Linked DNA regions of Diceros bicornis minor. The protein of the gene in region 1 interacts with the protein of each later gene in a pairwise test. Links are inferred from orthologs where the notes say so. Each region holds a gene or a part of one and is shown on either strand. Other genes may lie near its edges.

What was found.
Region 2: the proteins of RASSF5 (region 1) and RASSF2 interact in binary tests that used the Homo sapiens proteins (3 or more experiments, as listed by UniProt). The link is inferred for Diceros bicornis minor from reciprocal best matches to the Homo sapiens genes RASSF5 and RASSF2.

Annotation. Positions count from the first base shown.
Region 1 is NC_080743.1:99,553,696-99,564,276, reverse strand, and holds the start of RASSF5 (ras association domain-containing protein 5), read left to right. Parts: upstream 1-6,579; 5' UTR 6,580-6,584; coding exon 6,585-7,050; intron 7,051-10,581. UniProt on the Homo sapiens protein: Potential tumor suppressor. Seems to be involved in lymphocyte adhesion by linking RAP1A activation upon T-cell receptor or chemokine stimulation to integrin activation.
Region 2 is NC_080758.1:33,032,437-33,042,346, forward strand, and holds the start of RASSF2 (ras association domain-containing protein 2), read right to left. Parts: upstream 3,811-9,910; 5' UTR 3,671-3,810; intron 3,161-3,670; exon of another isoform or gene 2,940-3,160; 5' UTR 2,865-2,939; intron 1-2,864. UniProt on the Homo sapiens protein: Potential tumor suppressor. Acts as a KRAS-specific effector protein. May promote apoptosis and cell cycle arrest. Stabilizes STK3/MST2 by protecting it from proteasomal degradation.

The DNA.
Region 1 (10,581 bases):
TAAGAGATGGGAGTGAGGAAAGGGAAGAGGGTGGAAGAGAAGGAGGGAAAGATGGAAAGGGAGGGAAAGATAAAGAGAGAGACAGAGGGCAGAAAGGGAGAAAGAATGAGCCAGGAGAGGGGGCAGAAATGAGAGGAACAAGATAGAGACCCAGAGGAGAGATAGGTGTGTGTGCGCGCATGCCCGTGCTGCCGGGGTGGGAGCAGGGATAGCCTGCGGGGTCATCCAGCCTGCTCTGTTTGCACTGGTCTGTCACAACCCCAGTCGGTGGCTGCCTGCCACAGCGATGGGCCCAGAGCTGGCTTAGTGCTGGAATGTAAGTGGCTGTGACTTGGAGCCTCCCCTCTGACCCAGGGGAAAAAGCTGCTGACAAATCTGCCTGGAATATCTGAGTTTTTCCAACGCGGAAAGAAGAAACATACACACAAGCACACCAGTCTTATCACAAGCCTGGCAGAGTGGGTCGGGATGGGAAATTCCATGACTGAGACGCAGATGGAGGAGGCCCCACAAAACCGCCAGGAAACAAGTGCTACCCACCCCCACCCTCCACAGCGACACCACCCCAGGAGTCCTCGCATCCCTGCTCACATCCCCAGCCTGGTTTGTCCTTCCTGTCCCCAAGCTCTGTAAGGACGTAGATGCTCCCTGCGGGAGCACTGGAGTTTGGTGACACACAGAAAGCCCAGCCCCCTGCAAGTAGGGATGGTGCCCTTAGCCCTGGGCAGTCACTAGCACCTGAAGGCCGGAAACCTGCCCCAGTGCCCAGCAACTTCAGGGCATGCACGTGCATCTTAAATGCAGTTCCCATACCACCCCCTCTTCTCCTGTTCTCCCTAGACCAGATGATTCCTTCATCTCCCCCTCCTGGTTGCAGGGGCCATGTGTGGAAGTGACATTCAGAGATGAGTCCTGGATTAGGTACAGGTGGGAGCCTAGGGCCAAATTCATTTCATTCGACATTTATCGAGCACCCTCTATTTGCCCTGCGTGGTGGGATCAGAAAGACCAACAAGACCCAAGTGAAGGAGGCAAAAATGTAGAAACTTAATTGTGACTCACGTTAGGATAACGTGAATGCTAGAGACACAAGCAGCTCGTTATGGGAGCCCAGAAAAAATAGCAATGAATTAGGTCTGGGTGACTCTGGGCCGGCTCTATGGAGGACCTGGCATTTCAACTAGACTTGAAAGGTGAACAGGATTTTGACAGGAAGAGAAAAATGGGGAAAGATTTTGCTGATTCTTTAAACTGCACCTACAAAGTGAGATCAGAGGTTTTAAACACTGCCCTTTTTAGCACACCAGCTGGGCAGTACAAAGGCAAAATCATGGATTTGAGTCCAGACGGCAACCCCTTTTTGGGCCTGTCACATGACCTCTCTGAGCCTCAGTGTTCTCATCTGTAAAATAGGAATGCCAGTCATTCCACAGAGTTGCCATGAAGATGAAGTCATTCAAGCCAAGAGTACCTACCCACCACATAGTAGGTACTCGATGCATATTTCTTGAGTAAATATGTATAACATATAGCATTGTACAAGGGACTTTCACAAACACTTGAATTCCCCGACACGTTTTGTCATGGTCCCTGCTTGCTGTCTAGCCATGTGAGGTATTACCCCCATTACACGCTGCAAGCAACACCCTCTTCCTTGGGAGGCCGAGCTCTGTAGGCAACGTGCTACCAGGGAGGGAAGCAAGCAGAGCATGGAGCTGTGATCCTGCAGTTAACAAGGGCAGGAGCGTTTTCCTCTAAGGTCTGTGGCGGGGGTCACATGACCCCAACCACTCACTGCCTTGGTCCCGTTTTCAACGTGGGGTCTGTGTGTCAAGTTAATCAAACTCTCTTATCAAATGCAGGCCAATATCAGACTTATTGAATCAATCTCTGGAGGTGGAGTCTGAGAAAACACATTTGGAACAAACCCATGTTCATGAGGTTGGGAAAGTTTGGGGGCTGTTGAGCCTGCTGTTCCCTCAGCCTGGACCACCCTCGCTCAGATAGACAAGGACTCACTCCGTTCAGGTCTGTGTTTAAATGTCTGCTCCTTGGGGAGGTCTTTCCTGATCACCCAACCTGACATAGTGGCCCCTGTCACTTTCTATCCCCTTAAAGTGCTTTATCTTTCATCACAGTGCTCACGACCTGACACTATATCACAGCTACGTTTGCACGTTTACTATCTGGCTCTCCCACCACAATGTAAGCTTAGGAACATGTCCACTTCACTGTTCTACCTTTGGTGCCTAGAACAGCACCTGATATACGGTGGATATTAAATAATTATTGTTAAATGAATAACTGCTCTGTGCCCTTGAAGATGCAGTGGTCATGAGTGCTGTTTGCCCAACACTTCCAGCTCTTTTCCTATTCCAAGCACATGGAAGGATAGCACTTCTTGTTCTCCTTGTGTTGTTGTTGTTAGTGCCAACGAATCAAGAAGTGGGGGACCAGGTCCTTCTTCCTAGTCTGTCTTAGTCTGGAAGGCATAGCTTTCAGCATCACAGCAACCACCACGGTGTGACAATCGACAGATGAGTGGTGTGGTTCTCTGACTGGGAAACGAACCCAGGCAGCAGCAGTGAGAGCGCTGGATCTTAACCACTAGACCACCAGGGCTGGCTTCCCCTTGTGTAGTGTGCGCTATATAACTAGTTCTGGCCAGTGAGTTGTGAGCAGAAGTGACTGGAACTTTGAAATGCTGATGAAGGGTCCTCCAGGCCCTCTGGGTTTCCCTCTGGCATGGTGACTGGCAACATTAGACGTGGTGGCTCCATCAGCCTGGGTCCCTGGGTGGCATTGATGAACAGTCTCCCTGCCAACTGGCAAAGGGCACATAATGTGAGTGAGAAAGAAGTCTCTGGTTTAAAGGCACTGAGATTTGGGGTTGTTTATGACCACAGAGTACGCTCACCTGCCCTGACAGGTCCAGAGATCCTGTGCAGGCAGCAGTGCTGTCAGAGTCACCGGGAGGGCCCTAAATGCTTCGGGGATTTCAGGCGACTTCAAATGCCTCAAAGCCAAACAAAACCAAAAACTTCCCCTTCAGAAAGTCAGGCCACATTCTGTCCTTCCCTTTTCCTTCCTACTAGGAAGCTCAGTGGGAGTTGTGGGACAGCCTTGAAACAACTTGCCCAATACGAACACACCCTGGGACCACCTCTGCAGTGACTTCACATGCTGACCACACACTCAAAATAAAAACAGCACACCCACTCTTCTGGGAGTGAGTCACAAACAGAAAAAAGTCCACGCTCTGAGCCAAGGGGATCTGCTAACATGGGGGAAAGCTTCTAGTGGAGATGTCTCAGCTCATGCTGGGGTCTCACCCTTGTAGCCCGCAAGACCAAAGACCCATCCTAACAATTCTGAAGTTCAAGCATCGTACACTATCCCAGATACTGTCCCGACTCTACAATGAGACTAGAGTTTATTTAGTACTTCTTCCCTGGGGAAGGAGGAATGACTTGCATATGTGTGTGTGTGTGCGTGCACGCACAAGCACAGGCGTGCATGTATGTGTGTGTATTGTGGGAGGGGATGCTGTTTCAGGGAAGAAGGAGACTAGGCTGGGAAAGATGGCATCAGAGGAGGCAAGTCCCAGGCAGGGAGCCTCCCGTTGGGGTTCAGGGGAGGCAACTACTTCCCCGACCTCAATTTCCTGGCTCAGGGAGATGAACCCTAAGATAAACTTCATACACTTTTTGGATTGGTTACATGAAGTTACGTTATCTCCATTTTCATCTCTGTTCCCATCCCAGACGCCAAATGTAGGGCTCTGACCCTGCCTGGTCTCCTCCCCCATTCAGTGCTGGGAACAGCCACCACCACTCCTCCAGATCGGAGCTGCAGCAGGAAAAAAAGACCAGAGTGTTTTCTGGACAGTTCAGAACCTGGGCAAGGGTTTATGTCTGACTATTCCAGATAGTCCCCACTTTCCCAGGGCCCGAGGAGACACTCTTCCCATGAGCCTCTCCATCCAGGGAATCTGGGCTGGGCAGCCCATAATCATGCTTGGGGGTGGGGAGGTGGAGGGCAAAGATGTGATTGTTGGCAATTATTTCACCAATGGCACTTTAAAACCGGCCTTCCAGTGGTGAACTCTTTGCCAGGTCTCCTCTTCTTCTTGCCACACTAAGCTGTCACCCAGAACTTAAGCTGGGTCCACACCCTGGACCTCACCCAGTCCAATGCCCTCCCAGGAGGGAGTGATCTCCTCCAGACGTGTCTCAAGCCTGTGGAGAGGGGTGGATAGCAGAGGGTGGATACCAGCAAATATTTCCATGCAATGCAGGTTCTGCAACAAGCCCAAGAGAACTGCTTGCAGAAAAAATAGGAGAGAGAGAAATGAGAGACCACAAAGGCAAACTGCACTTTCCTTTGTAAACATTCAGCAGAAAGCATTCAGAAACAGCCCCCTCCACCAAGTTTTCCTCAGTCACGTCCCACTGGACCTCACCTACCCCGTGGAGAAAAGAACAGGGAGGCCCATTCTGTTATCACCACGTTAGATCTAGAGCAGTTGGGGCTTGGACCAGCATCATCAACATCACTTGGGAACTTGTTAAAAATGCAAAATCTCAAACCCCAGCCCCAGACACACCAACTCAGAAACTCAGGTGGTGGAGCCCACTAATCTGGGATTGAAGGAGCCCTCCAGGTGAGTGGTACACAACAAAGTTTGAAAACCACTGATGTAGAGAGAAGTTCAGACCGGAGAGGAAGGGTGGAGGAGGGAGCAGAGGGGTGGCTGGTGGCTCACAGGTCCCCATCCCAACTCCTTCTGCTCTGTCGCACTGCAGGGCTGGCTGCTGTGGGCATTCTTCTCCTCTGCCCAGAAACCACCTCATGAGCTGGGAAGCTCCAGACTCTGGTGAGAGCTGGGGACGCAACATGTCCTCTGCTACAAATGCGGTGGCAGAGGCCTCTAGGAAGATCCCTACCAGGAGGGAGAAGCCATGGACCAGAGCAGGCTGGGAATTCCCCAGCCACCAGACTAGAAATGTTAGGAATTATTGAAAAATTACCTCCAAGGGGGAAAATAAAAAGCAAAAGTGAAGATTGCCCTTGCAGACAGTAGGGGGAGACCCATCTTAGGCCGGGAAGAGGAGGGAGAGCCTCAGATCTGGAAGAATTGAGACATTTCCAAAGTTGGTTGCTGAGACCTCTGCTAGATCAACCAAACCAAACCCCAAGCGTTAAGAGGACGGCAGTGATCACTGAGTCAGAGTGGTGGGACTGGAGGAGACTGCGAGAGCATGTCCCTGTCTCCTCACTCCTGGATCAATGTATAGTTGAGAACTGCAGAGGCTAGAGAGGGCCCAGAGTCATCCAGCTGGTCTGCGTCAGGACACGGAGGTACAAAGACCCGGGAGCCCGGGAGGCGCCTGCTTCCCATCATGAGACGGGGCTGTCTCCATGGGCAAATGTGCTGGTCAGGGCCGGCTACATAACGTGCGGGACCAAGTGCAAAAACAAATGCCGTGCCCTTTGTTCCAAAATTATTGAGACTTTCAAGACGGTGACAGCAGGGCACTAAACTGCGGGGAGGGGTTCATGAAGTCTGCCCTGGTGCTGGTAGAAAACGGATCTCTCTTTGGATCTCACAGGTGAACTGTTCACACCAGATGCAATGTACGGCTTTGGGGGGACCGGTGTTTCCACAGGAATCACCAGAGCAGCTGTGGTGAGAGGAGGGTTTGACTTAGTTGGAAAATCTTTCCCAATCCATGGGGCGCTGGAGCGTTCTCACAATCCAGGATCCACGATCACCATAACCCCAGTCTTCCGAGAAGGGAATATCCTACCGGGCAGGGCTGCTGAGAGGGGAAATCCAGCAAGAATGAAAGTCGCACACGGACAGCCTCGCCCGCGGCGGAGGCGGCTTCTCGCGGCGGCACGAGAAGCGCCCCCGCGCTCGGGTCCCTCCTGGTCACGGGACTCGGCGCCGCGGCGGGAGCGCGAGCGGAAGCGGGGCGTTCGCGACCCACGGCGGGGTCGGCTCGCCGGCGGCTGCGGGCGGCGAGGGGGCGGGAGGAGGAGCAAAGGAGCGTGTCCCTCCCGTCCGCGTGAACCCCGGAGGGTGGCGGGCGGACATCCAGCCCGTGGGCCTCTCCTCACATCCCATCCTCAGCCGGCTCCTGAGCCCTTGCCTCTGCCCTGCTCCCTCCCCTGGGCGTGTTGGGGTGCGGGTGGCGGGGGGATCTGCGGTGGGGGAAGTGATGGGAGAGGGAAAGAGGCAGGGCTGAGGGTAGACGTCCCCTCCAGAAATGCCTCTTTTGAGTTGTACTATAGAGCCTTCCCATACGAAATCCTTCAGCTGCCCCAGTTGTCCAGGCGCTTCTGAAGACGCCCCTAAATCCACACTCGCTCAGTACCCCCCCGCCCCCTCCCCCGCCAACCCTGCGCTCGGTGGGGTGGTTCCCTCGGGTCGTCCTTCCTGCCTCTCCGAAGTCTCCCCGCCCCCGCCCCGCCCCGCAGGCTGCGGCCCCTTTAAAGGCGCGCTGGGCGGGCGGCACTGCTCTCGAGGCTGACTCGGGAGGAGCGCCACCGCCGGGAGCTGCCGCCGCCGCCAGCCGGGCATGGCCATGGCGTCCCCGGCCATCGGGCAGCGCCCGTACCGGCTACTCTTGGACCCAGAACCGCCGCGCTATCTGCAGAGCCTGAGCGGCCCCGAGCCGCCGCCGCCGCCGCCGCGGCCCCCCGGCCGGTCCTCGCGCCGCTGCGCCCCCGCGCCCCTCTCCGCTGCGCCCGGGGCGCACGAGGGGCGCGGCGCCCGGAGGGCTGCCCGGGGCGACCTGGAGTCCCAACTCCGGGCCTCCCGACCCGCTCGCCCTCTGCGGCCTGGTCTGCAGCAGAGACTGCGGCGGCGGCCGGGAGCGCCCCGGCCCCGCGACGTGCGGAGCATCTTCGAGCAGCCGCAGGATCCCCGCGTCCCGGCGGAGCGAGGCGAGGGGCACTGCTTCGCTGAATTGGCGCTGCGGAGCGGCCGGGGCTGGTGTGACCTGTGCGGACGAGAGGTGCTGCGGCAGGCGCTGCGCTGCGCTAGTGAGTGTGCGGGCCAGGCAGGGGAGCGGAGGGGCGCGCGGGAGGACCGCAGTCCGCGGGCGAGGAACTGCGAGGGGCTGGGGCAGGACAGCGGGCGCATCGCCCTCTCTGGCTCCAGGGGAACTTGGACTTGAACGAAGGGAGGTAAGCCCTGGGGACACTCTGCTCCTTAGTCCCCTGCCCAGTATCCTCTAGTGACTGCCTACTCCCCGGGTATGGTCATGCGGTATTTAACAAACACCTCTTCCCCTGACAGGTGCACGCCTCGCCCTTCCCCAGACACACACGTACACACACACACACACACACACACACGCACACACACGTGTGCGCGCACAGATTGGGGTTGATGGCAGCAGGGCAAGGTCATTCCATTGTCCCCTGCGCACCCTCCTGCTTTTGTTGTAGGTTCTTGAGAGTGGGTTGTGAGACTGGTATTGAGATGGCCTTTTGACCCGTGGCAAAAAATGGCTTCTTTGTCTGTCTATGGTGCAGCCCCACAGTACACGGACACTTATGGTATACCCTTTCTCCAGGGCGACCTGTTGGGATAGGGAGGAGACCTGGTTGGGCTTTAGATGGAAACGGCTATGAGGCTGAAGAGAGCCTGAGGTCACCCTGGACCTGTGCCCCTCCTGCCTTCTGCCTCTGGCCCCTCAAACCTTTGGACTCTGCTCTAACGTTTGGCTGTGTCCTGAGCTGGCCTCCTCTTCCTCCTCCTCGGTTACTGCACCAGTCAGTCATCATGCTCTGAAATTACCTAACTCCTGCCGGGTCCCTTCTCCCCCAGAGCTCTCAGGCCCCTCTAGCCGCCTCCTGAGCCAGGCTCTTCTCAAAGACTGACTAGAAAACACTGGGCACCCAGTGTGTAAATTTTCTGAGCAAATGTGCGGTCTTCTTGGAGGTGCATTATTTTTCTCTTCCTACAGTTAGGTGTGAGTGTTCTTTAATGGGTGCCCCACCTACCCGCCCTATCTGCTCCTGCCATGTTTGGCAGAGGGTATCCATCCCCATGTGTTTATGTGTTTATATAGGTATTTTAAATATCTGAAGCACAAAGCACAGACAATGGCACAACCTCTAACAAGGGTCTCTGGAAATGGGTTGTGGTTTGCATCTTTTGGCAAAAGCCCTTCCCCTGTGAGCACAGCCTCACACTCCCATCGGACTGCAGCACCGGACAGCAGCAGCTACTTCCACCTCAGGAAAACCCTGCCTTGCCTCTCTCTGCAGTCCACAGCCGAGGCAGCGTGCCTCTACTGCAGCTGGCCGCAGGGGAGGAGAGCTCAGACTCTAAGCCAGGATCAAGTGGAAAGGGAAGGTTGGAGGGGAAAGTGGGTGCTGCTTCCTCCAACCCTGGAACTCACAGTTCAGGTGCTAATTAAAAAGGAAAGAGCAAAAGTTATAGAGATATATGTGTTATGGGTGGTGCTCTGCTGTTACTTGATAAATGCCCCTGACCTTACAGTAGAATCTAATGCAACGTGCCCATGGACATGTTGGCAACTTTTGCCCTCTCAAGGGTCTTGGGGTACTTTCCTGCATCCACCAACCCTATATTCATAGAGACAGGCAGGATCCTCACTGTAATGGGTTTTATTGTGCTGGAATCCCAGGAAATCCGCTTCGTTGGAATTCTAGTCTATTCGGATGTTTGGGGGCTGTATCAATTGTTGAACATTTTGCACAGAGTTTTATGATTTGTTTTTTTGTTGCGATAATGGTGTATTTGTGTGTGTTTGTATGTGCATATGTGTGATACTCCATGATTAAATGAAGTTATGCTCACTTCACATTAGAATTTATTTCCTTTGGTTAGTTTATAGTTTCTGGTGGCAGGAAGACCCAGGTACATGGGCAGTTTGTCTGACTTTGTGTGAGACTTGGTGAAGTCTCTTCGTTTTCCTGGGCTCCTGTGGCCCTCACGCAGTTGGCTTAATACCAACCAGGGATGTCTGAACACCAGAGAGGAGCAAAGCTGGAATCAACGGGCTATGGAGAGGAGTCTCTGTCATTATTAATGTTTAACTAATTGTGGACCTGTGGCTGGCTGGGGGCAGTTGAGAAATGTTCTGATGTGCAGATGAGGGCTGGCGGGTGGGGACACAGCAGGCCAAGCTCACGGAGCATCTTTCTTTAAGTCGAACAACTAATTCTGTGATGGGGTTGGTTTGTTTTATCTTTTGAAAAGCAAGCGTCAGAAATATGACTTTTAAAAGGCAGTACTGTGCAGTGATTAAGAGAACGGACTGAAACCAGAAGACCTGGGTTTGAATCCTGATTCTGCCACTTAGTCTCTGTGTGACCCTGGGCATCTCTGTGTTCCACTTCTTTGTTTTAAAAAATGGGGATAATAACATTACCTACTGCATCACGTTAATGCGAGAATTAAATCAATTAGCGTATGTAGAGTGCTCAGAACAGTGCCTGGCAAAATGCAATATGAATGCTTAATGTAATGTGAGTGTTATTATTGTCCTTGCCCATCCAACAGGTGTAACAATTTGTCTGGGCTCATGACACTTCCGAGGATCACCTTTCCATGCAGTGATACAGTTTTCAGACTCTGCCTGGTTGCTGAGCCAAGTGGGGAAGTGAGTGCCATGAGCATCCCAGGAAGGTATTAATTGTCCTCTAGAAATGCCATTCCTGCCTGCTGGCTGAGGAGTGTCCTCACAGAATGGCAGTGGCTTAGAGGTCACCAAGACATTGATGCCTTGTCTTTGTGTCAGTTGCCCCCAGCAAAGTGTGAGGCACAGAGCACAGTCTCAATAAGTGGTGGTTGATGAAGGTGGTGGCTTGTTTATTCTATTAAATCTCCCTGCTCTTGGGAACAAGCAGAAGGGCAGTGGGCATGTGAGTGACATCTGCCTGAGCCAGGAGGCTGACACTGGGTGGGAGCCGTGTTGGCAAAGTGGGCTTTTAGTAAGGGAAGCGTTCAGAAAACTGTCTTCCCACTGTCTGCCTGCCTTTTTCGTGAAACTGTCTCTAACTTAAGCTTACCCTACTTCAAGTTCAGTAACTGAGCTCTCACTAATGCTGGGTTTGCCAACAGGAAAGTTCAGAGTTAATATTAATTTTCAGGACTAAAGAAATGATGTTTGTTAGATAGAGAAGTAAATCCAGGGGGATTGGTGGAAGAGAGAGAGGGAGGGAGATGATGGCGTGAATGCAGGTGTGTGTGTTGGGATGGATGTGCTGGAGGGGTGAGGGTCTATTTCCAGCATTCCAGAAGGGAATTGTCAACAGCAAACAACCCTAGAAACTCACCGGGCCGCCCTTTGGCTTTGTTTTCAGGGAATGTCCCTTAGAGGTCATGACCCTTTCTTCTGTAGAAGGCACAGAGAATTGACCTTTTACCTTTCATCTTGTTTTGGTGGATTTGTAAACCATCCTGGGCCAGGGAATGATCTGGAAAATGGGGAAACCTAAGTCCAAGTCAGCATTCAAGGCAGGACGCTTGGACAGACCTTGCACGTTGCTGGTGAGGGCTGCGCGTCTGCTCCTGAGCCTGTCTCTCTTGGGAGGGGC
Region 2 (9,910 bases), on another chromosome or scaffold:
TAATCAACGAGCCAGCAAATGTTTGCCTGAATGCTTCCTGTGTGCCAGGCCCCCATCTGAGCACAAATCACAGTATCACTGTGAGACAGTTATTATTTCCATCTTCCAGTTGGGAAAACTGAGTCCCAGAGACTTTAAGTGACTTTGTAACTATAGACTAAGGCCTGTCTTAGGTTAGTTTCCAGAAGTTGACCCTAAGACAAGAGTTCAAGTGCACATAGAAGGAGAACGGGAAAGTGAAACAGGGAAAGGAAGGCAGCCAATGAAGGGAGCAAGTTACCACTGTGAGCAATTGGGATTCAGTCCTGCTAGGCGGCCCTGAGAGACAGCATAGAACATGCCTCAAAGTTACCCCAACAGAGAAGTGAGGGAGCTGCAGTATTTACACACCTTCTTCCATCAGCCATTGGTTGAGGCCAAGGAAACATGGGAAGGATGCTCACAGCATCTATTTTATTGCCGGATATCACACAGCTAGAAAATGGTAGACTTCCATTCAAACTCCAATACTCTCTTCATTACTCTTATAGAAATGAGCAGTTAATCAAACACCTACTGAGTGCCAAATATGGGTAAAGTGCCATGCTGGTGAAGTAAACCCACTTTGTCAAATCACTTTGGGTTGACATGTCCAAGGAAAGCACAAGGTATCCTTTTGCCAATTTGTTTCAACAGAAGGAATAGAAAAAGCCCTTCTAAGTCACTCTGCTCATCCCACGGGAATTAGCCAAGTGCCCTGCCTTAAGCCCTTCTTCTATGAGCGGCTTCCCTCTCTGGTCGGCCACAGCTGCCTTGGGCAGGCCTTCTGCAGCCTCAAGCTGTCATCCCAAGCAGCCGCATCAACCTGTGATTACAGGCTCTAGAGTCTGCCATCCAAGGATGGTCAAAAATGACCACCCGGCTGCCCAATCAGCCAAGTCTGGAGGCTGTGCCCTGCATGCCCTGTGCCTCCTGCCCCATCCCCTTCCCTCCACCTTCCCACAGCCATATCCTCCAGGGGAACCCACAATCAGGCCAAATAAATGAAACCAGCAGTCACGGGCCTGGGGGAACTCACCTCGCCTTAAGGACTTATTTAAAATTCTTCTGGAGAGGCAGGGAGGTGTTTAAATAGGACAGTGTGTTATTGGGGTAAACAACTGGACCATATTGTGAAGAGTGGCGGGAGGGGTACTCTAGTTTTATAAACCAGCTGTAGCAGCTCTCAGCAACCATGGCTTGACAACTGGGACCGGACGTTTTGTTCCATTCCAAGCACACTGCTGAGATCTGCCCAGTTGCTCATTCTGGGGGAGAGGACAAGCAGACGCGGGCAAGTCCCAGGACTGCTCTTGGATCACCCAGTCCCTCTCCCAGCCTTTCCGCAGGATTCTCTGGCAATCTGGGCTGCCTCTGCACTCCCACCTCCCAGTCAGTGAGGACACTCCCTGCCAAAGTATCCTAGAGAACTGAATGCAATTATCAGGCCAAGGTTCTTTTATGCTTTGGTGACAGGACCCTTTTCTGGTGAGCCCTGCAGTCCAGCCTTGGCACTCCAGCAGAGGGCCAGGACGTGTGGTCCTGGGCACTTCTCCAGCCAACCCTCTCGGCCATTTCTAAGCAGCTCACACATACAAGGCAGACATAAAGTTTGGCTCCAGGGCACCAGGAAATAGACGAAGAAATCAAAGCAAAACCAGCGGGTGACTGAGAGGTCCTAGGTAGGCCAGCGCATCCGAGAGTAAGGACGTGAACTGAGGGATTGAAAACAACATGTAGGATGGTCCACTACACTGGACCGATTCTTAAGAGAACATAAACTGGAGAGAGGGCTTGAACCCCCAAACAGAAGCCTTGCGGAGATGCAGAGAGGTGGACTCTGGAGCCCCAGGGGCAGAAGGGGAGCACCCTCAGGAAAGTGGGGATGCTGCTGGCTGCAGGTACAGCAGGCACAGGTCCTGCACACACTCTGGCCTACTCAGCCAGGTGTAGAGGGCACAGCCCCCACCTTCCCCTTGAGGAGGGCATAACTGGGGACCTCAGATTCCCTGGCCTCCTATCAGCCAGGTTCCCCAAAGGTGTCCCTCATCATTCTAACCAGATTTCACCAGCACCAAAATGAGGACAGAGGAGCATGGGACATGTCTAGGCTGCACCCCAAAGAATATCCTGTCTCCCCAATACTCCACCTCTGCTCTCTCATCCTCTGAGGGAGGAGCAAGACTCACCTCCCAGCCCCCCAGCACAGGGAATCCCAACCCGTACCAGCCCAGATTCCCAGGTGTCTGGGCAGGCTGCATGCTATGCCTCCATCTTCTCCCAGAATAAGAACTACTCTGTTTCCAAAACTACCCCACCTTTCTGAGTTCAGCCATCTTTTGGGGCCCTCTTCTATCCACTGAGGCCCACTAGACAGCCAAAGCTTCCAGGCATCAGGCTGGCCTGTCTAGAGGAGAAAACACAGCTGGTGCCCACACCCAGGGTTTCTGATCCCAAATGGGCACCTCCCAAGCCAACTCCACACTTAGTCCCTGGGACACTGCATTAGGACACAAGTTTAAAAAAAAAGGAACTCTCCTCAAACAACCCAAGATACCTTAGCCATGAGAAGCTTCTTTAATTTTTCAGACCACCTGCAGAAAAAGTTCCAAGCAAATACGAATTGATAAGTAAAATAAATCCAACCCCAGATTCCTCATCCAGATGCTTTGGAAAGAAGGCCGCTGGCTCTGTCTTGCAGCTGTTTAAAAGAATCATTGTTTCTAATTCTTTCCTCCCATTGTACCAAGATCAACTGTGGCAGGAACCCAGTTCCGCTCCAGAATAAATTGTTATTTGTCAGCTCATTGGTTCAAACATTCATTCATTTCATGTAAGGTACTTACTATAAACCTCGCCAGCTCTAGACACGGCCTCTGTCCTCTGGAAGAACATGATTTAGGGACCTGGATTCCCGACACCTGGGAATAAAGCGCATCGCAGCGTTGAGAAGCCTCACACTCGGCTCCTGTCACTGAGGCACCGAGGTGCTGTGACACCAGACCCACAGAGCGCCCCAGGGTAACATGGAACCCTCCTCTCCCTGTCAGGCCATCGTGCCTCTCTGCTGTCCCCAGGGCTCTCCTAGCTTAGGAGCTGAGTGCAAAGCAGCCACTGGAAATGCAGAAGTGGCCGGGGTCCGCCCAAGGCACCTGCCTCTCTCCGGCGAGAGAGGATGCAAAGCCGAGGTCCCGAACGACCTCAGGCAGCAGCTCCGGAGGCGGGCCGGGAGACTGCAAAGGGGAAGTGCCCCGAGGACCGAGGGCCCCCACGCACCCTGCGCCCTTCTGAAGGCAGAGGGAGCTGGAGCCCCTCCCCTCCAGGGAGGCGTCCTTTAGGCGGGTAAGAAGTAGACCGGATTGGGTTTGGCCACTCCCCAGGGCCCTCGGGATTTGCCATCCCTGCACCTGCTGCCCGGCCGCACCGCCAAGAAGTCCCAGGGACCCCGGGTATGGGGTGGGGGCGCCTTCCTGCCGCCGCCCTTGGGGGCGGAGGGGGAGGACGAGCTTGGAGCCACAACTTTCTCCGGCGGAAGGCGGGCGGGCTGGGGTTCCGCACCCACGCGGCCCCTGGGGAGTCCGCACGCCCGGGAACCCCGTGAGGCTGGGGGAGAGGCAGGAGACCAGGGGCAGGCGAGGACCGAGGGGCTGACCTGGACGGGAGAAGAGACACTGCGAGAAAACTTTCGGCGAGGCAGGAGCGAGGCAGGCGAGAGAGGACCGCCCGGTACCCGGCACCTTGCGCCCCGCATCGCGCGCCCGGTACCCCGCGCCCAGCACCCCGCGCCCAGCGCCTTGCCTGCGTCCAGAGCCGGCTGCATCTCGCTCGCGCCGCGGGGACCGTGGAGTTGCAAAGTGGGGGTGCCGCGGCCGGGGGCTGCTCCAGCCGGCGCCTGGGTCAGCGATCGGCGGGCCGGGCTCAAATCCAGCCCAGCTGGGAGGCGGCGGCCGCGCGATTGGGGGTCGGGCGCCCCGCCCTCCTCGCTCCCTCTCCGCCCCTCCTCGCCCTCTCGCCCGCCCCCCTGCCTTTATCTGCCCTATGCGATCTGACCGTCCTCCCTCCCCCTCTTTCTCTAGCTCTCCATCTCTCCCCACCCCTCTTCCACTCGCCTTTCTTCCTCCCCTCCTCTCCCGCCCTCCCTCCCCTTCTCCCCTCCCCCCGGGGGGCGGAGCTTCTCCCCTCCCTCCCAGACAATGCTTTGGCTGCGCGTCCCCTCCTTCCCTGCCTCCGAGTCGGGGCTCCGGCTGCCAGCGCTTCTTCCGGGCTGGGGGGGCGGGGAGGGGGTAGGAGTGCGGGGGTGGGGAGGATGAGCTGGCTCCCCTCACCCCATTCGCCGCTGCCCTTTCCAAGAGGGATGGAGTCTTGGCCCAAGCCCCTCGGCTCGCCCCGTGCTGTGACAGCCACTCCAAGGGAACAGTCACGCTGCCCCGAGGAGCCCACTTTGGGCACCCCGGATTCCCCAGGCAGAGGATGTAGGATTTTTTTTCTAACACTCGGGCTTATTCCAAAAACAGTTTGAGCTGAGCAGGGGGCTAAGCGAGGCCCCTTCGACTTCGCGGGCTGGCAGACGTGACAGCAATGTGAAGGAGGCCAAGTTTCTTTGTCCACCTCTCACCTCCCCCTCTTATCCATCCCTGGACCTCCAGGGGCTCTCAGTGCACAGGAAACCCTAGAGCACCCCAGCTGCGGAGCTCCTTATCTGTTCCCTCCTTCTTATCAGAATTCTCCCCTCGCATTCATACTCCAGCTCTGCAGAGTCAGTCTCCACGCCAAGAGGAAAGGGGCCTAACCGTTAATGGGTAGCCAACCCCCGGGGTACAGCCGGATCAGCTCATCCCTCCTGGAAGCCAAACATTCTTTATAAATTCATTGTTTGGATGTTGGAATGTGTCTCCCTTAGAAACAATGTTACAAATGGTGATCTGCTTCCCAGGGCAGCCACAAAAGTCTTTTGAACCCAAAATGCAGCTGCAGGGTGGTGCTGAAAACTGTGTCAGCTGCCCCAGAACAAGGAGACCACTGATCAGCTTTTTCTATAGAAAAAAAAATTATCTTCTGGTTCTTTCCCCTTGAGCTATAAACACAAAGCTCTCCCGTTAATTCCCCCTCACACACGCACCGGAACCCCTACCTCCCTCACCTCTCCCCCCAGCCACTACTCTGTATTAGTCAAGCTTCTTTCCTTTGCAGGTAATGGAACACCCTCCGGGGAGTGTGTTATGAGGACAAGGGGGTTTCTCTATAACCTCAGGGTCAGAACTGCAGGGAGAGCTCAGTTAGAGGCAAATCCAGAGCCTGGAGGGCTTCCAGGAACCCAGGAGGGGCCCGCTCTTCTCTCTCATCATAGACTGGGCTTCCCTGCATCCCAGACACATGACAAAGGGTGGCCATGGCTTCCATCACTGGGGCTTGGAGCTTCCCTGTTGAAGAAAGCAGCCAGGTAGAGCTAAAATCCCTTAGTCTCTACTCCAGTCTCCCAGGAGAGCTGCTCATTGGCCCAGCTTGGGTCAAGTGACCATCCTATGACCAATCAACTGGGGCTAGAGGCAGGCTTACATTGTCCAAATTAGGCTACCAGGAACCCTGACCTATTTAAAACAAAATCTGTTCCTCTTCACTTAACATTCTCCATCTTAGTGAATAAATTGATTGATTAGTTCAAAACACCAGAAAACATCTTTCTTTTCATCAATTTGTCCATACAGAAAGCACAGGAGGAAAAAGAATAGGACTTTTTCCTTCAAGGCAGTGTAGGGACAATAATTCTGTATCAGGGATAATATTTGCAAATATTAAACCGAATACATTAAAGCCCACCCTTAAACCATATTTTCTTGCAGCCTTCCACCCCCAGGGACTGAACCCAGAGGCACATGGCCGCAGGGAAGCAGGAGATAAGCATTGCCTAGAACTATCTACAGTGCAAGCCACAGGTGCAATTTAAAACTTTCTAGCTACATTAAAAATAGTAAAAAAAAAGAGCCAGCTCTGATGGCCTACCAGTTAAAGTTCGGCACGCTTCTCTTTGGCGGCCTGGGCTCAGTTCCCGGGCGCAGAACCACACCACTCATCTGTCAGTAGCCATGCTTTGGCAGCAGCTCACATAGAACTAGAAGGACTTACAACTAAAATATAGAACTGTGTCCTGGGGCTTTGGGGAGAAAAAAAAACCAGAGAGGAAGATTGGCAACAGATGTTAGCTCAGAGCAAATCTTTCCCAGCAAAAAAAAAAAAAAAAAAGTTAAAAAAATAGTAAAAAGAGGGGCTGGCCCAGTGGCGCAAGCGGTTAAGTGCGCGCACTCCGCTACGGCGGCCCGGGGTTCGCTGGTTCGTATCCCGGGCGCGCACCGACGCACTGCTTGGTAAGCCATGCTGTGGCGGCGTCCCATATAAAGTGGAGGAAGATAGGCACAGATGTTAGCCCAGGGCCGTCTTCCTCAGCAAAAAAAGAGGAGAATTGGCGGATGTTAGCTCAGGGCTGATCTCCTCACAAAAAAAAAAAAAAAAAAAAAAAAAAAAAAAAAAAAAAAAAAAAAAAAAAAATAGTAAAAAGAAACAACTGAAATTAATTTTAATGATATAGTTTATTTAAATCAAAATATTACCATTTCAATATGTAAACAATATAAAGAAGTTATTGACGGAGTATTTTACATTCTATTTTTCTGCTAAGGCTGTGTGTATTTACACTTCAGCACATCTCAATTTGGACGTTAAATTTTCATCAAAAATATTTGATCTGTATTTAGATTTTATGAAATTTCTTCTTGAAAAAGTAAATTGACACACCCGAGTTGTTCTCAACATGCCTAAAAGTTTCCCACTAACTGAATTGAGTAGCAGTTTTTAAATTTATGTTTTAATTAATTAAGATTATATAAACTTAAAATTCAATTCCACTAGTCACGTTTCAAGTACTCAATAGCCACATGTGGCTAGTGGCTACCATATTGGGACACCACAATTTTCTGGAGCAAGGACGTCACTGATGAGCTCTGAGTCTCAAAGCTGACTTCCCATTTCTCTTTAGCAAAACAGTGGCAGGAATGTCAAGCATGGCCAGAGAGAAAATGATTCTCCAAATTCCTTTATGTCGCCCTATAACGTCTCAAGGGGCAGGCTTTGCCACTAGATCAGAGTTCTACTGGGGAGAAGCAGGATATGCAGAGGAGAAGTGGGAGGCCCAAAGCCCACTCTTTGTTCCCAGTGGATTCTGGGAGGAGGGAGGAAGAAGCAAGGGACACAGACAGTGGGAAATGCCTCATCTGCCCTATTTGAACTTCTGCCAGAGTGAGGAGGTATGTTGATGGGTTAAGGGGAGTCTGGAGATAGAGTAGAGGAAATGGCCACACTGGCTGTCCACGTCCTTCCTCCTTGTTCCCAGGCACAGACCTAGGGGAGGGGGCAGCCTCATTAAAGTCAACTTAGTGGACCACCAAGTTACACAGACGGGGCCTGGGTTTAGCTTTCTGGGGTCACCCACAATTCCTGCGTGGCATAGACATGATGCAGAAGTTCCCACCTGCTCCCAAGGACCAGGGGCCTCCGAAGGAAGTGGAATTGTGAGCCTTAGACCTTCCATAGGGCCTTAGTTTGAGTCCCCTCAAAAGCAGAACCTGAGACAAGGACTTGGGAGTTTACTTAGGAGCTGGTCCCAGAAAGCAGGAGAGTGAGACAGGGAGGGAGAAAAGCCAATAAAGGGTGTGGCACCAGCACCCCATTCCTCTGGGGACCCTCTGAGGAACTGTGTAAAATGCGCCTCAGAATTGTCCTCTCTGAAGCTGGGGGCACTGGGGCAGTTATCTGCTAACTCTCATTTCCCACTGTTTAAGAATTACTTCCAAAGAGCTCACCTCTTCTTACTTCCTGGCTGTGTGGACATCTTTGGCCTCAAGGGAACCTCTGAGGCAGACAAGCAGGAGCCACTGCCATTGGCACTTCAGGTGGCATGAGTCATTGTGCATGGAGCTGCCCACCACAGCTATGCTGGGGGAAGAAGTGGGCTGAGGCGGTGCGAGCCAGAACACGCAAGTCATCTGCTCTAAGAGCCAGCATGGAGAGGGGCAGGTTGACCCCGAAGGTTAGCTCAGGGGCTGGTGGGAGGACATGATAGAGACTCAGAGGGAGCGTTGGTGAGGGCCGAGTCAAGGCCGGGGGCGTCAGGGAGCACTACAGAGCTCTGAAGGAGCGTGGAGCACACAGACCATGAGGTACACAAGCTGCAGGCCTCAGCAGCAGATGCCAGGCAAACACCCAGGAATGGGGCCATCACCCCTCAGCATTTTGCTTTCCAGGGATGGTCCAGAGTAGGCCCTCTGCAGGGGAGCCCGGGGGGACCCGGAGACACCATCCTCACATGCCACCACCAGAAAAGGTAAGGCAGAACCACCTCCAAAGATCCATCTTGGAGATAGCTGGGAAGGAAGGAAGAACTCTGAGAGAGTTTTCATCTAAGAAGACCAGCAGGAATGCAAATTATTGTATCAGACTCCTTTTTTTTTTCTCTGCTATCCACGAGGTGAGAATGTACAAAGGAAGATCTAATGAGTTATAGAGAAATAAGGAAGCCTCAGTGACCTGAGTACATCTGAACTTGTCTGGCACGCTAGCATGGTGGGCTGGCTGGAAATGTATTTGTTCGAGAGGTGAAAAAAGGCCCTCCTGGGAGATAATGTTCATTCTAAGGAGAGAAGAAACCAAATTTGGTCCAGTATCAAAGCTTTAGTTGACAGAAGAGAGGTGAGATTGTCACTCAACTCTGCCCCCAGCCTGGCCCCCGGGACACATGGGGGGGTGATCCCGGGAAGATGGAAGAGGCTCTAAGTTACAACTCAAAGGACTGTTTCAGAAACTTCAGGAATACTCTGGGGCCCAAGCAGTCATGCTTTGGGGACTTCCCGCTAAGTAACACTTAAGGGACAGACAGTCCAACACTCAGCTTCCCTGTTTCAAGGGTTTGATATGTTGACATTACTCAGAAAGTAGTAAATGAATTGCCAAAATGGTCACACTTATTCCCCTCCCTGCATATACTTTGCAGCTCCTCCCACAAAGAGGTGGAGTCTACTTCCCCACCTTGAATCTGGGTTGACATCTTGCTTTGGGCAATAGAATGTGGCAGAAGTCATACTGTGCCTTTTCAGAGTCTGGGCCTTGAGAAGCCTTGTATTCTTCTACTCTTTCTATGGGAACATGGCTCTGTCATGTGAATAAGCTAGGGTGCTGAGCTAGCTTGCTGGAGGAGGACAGACCACATGGCCCAGAGCCAAGGCCCCAGGCATGTGGGACACCCAACCAAGATCAGTCAAGCTCCCTACCCAACCCAGAGCTGACCATTGATGCAAAAAGGAGCCCAGCTAAGTCTACCCAAATAACAACCAATTAAAGCACAAACTGAGTAGATGGCTATCATTTTCAGCCACTAAGGTTTGGGGTAGTTTATTATATAACAGTAGCCAAGTGGTAAAGAACTTAAAAGGATGAAAAAAAGGTAACCATGTGAGGCGACGGATATGTTAATTAACCTTATTGGGGTAGTCGTTTTGCAATATATACATATATCAAATTATTATGTTGTACACCTTAAACTTACATAATGTTGTATGTCAATTATATCTCAATAAAGCTGGAAAAAGAAAGAGAGACACAAAAAATAAGTCTTTAATACAAAGAAAAAAAAGAACTTAACAGGATAAAGTGACCATGGCTGACATGACCGGGGTACTGGTGGACACAAGTCTGGAGTCCCTTGAATTGTTTATGAACTTGTCAGAGATGCCTGTGTGAACTCTCCCTCGCCCCACAGACACCTCACTTCCCAAAGCAGTGCAGAGGTATTTTCAGATGACTAAAGTCTGCGTGTGCTGGTGAAATTTAGATTTATGGCTGTTAA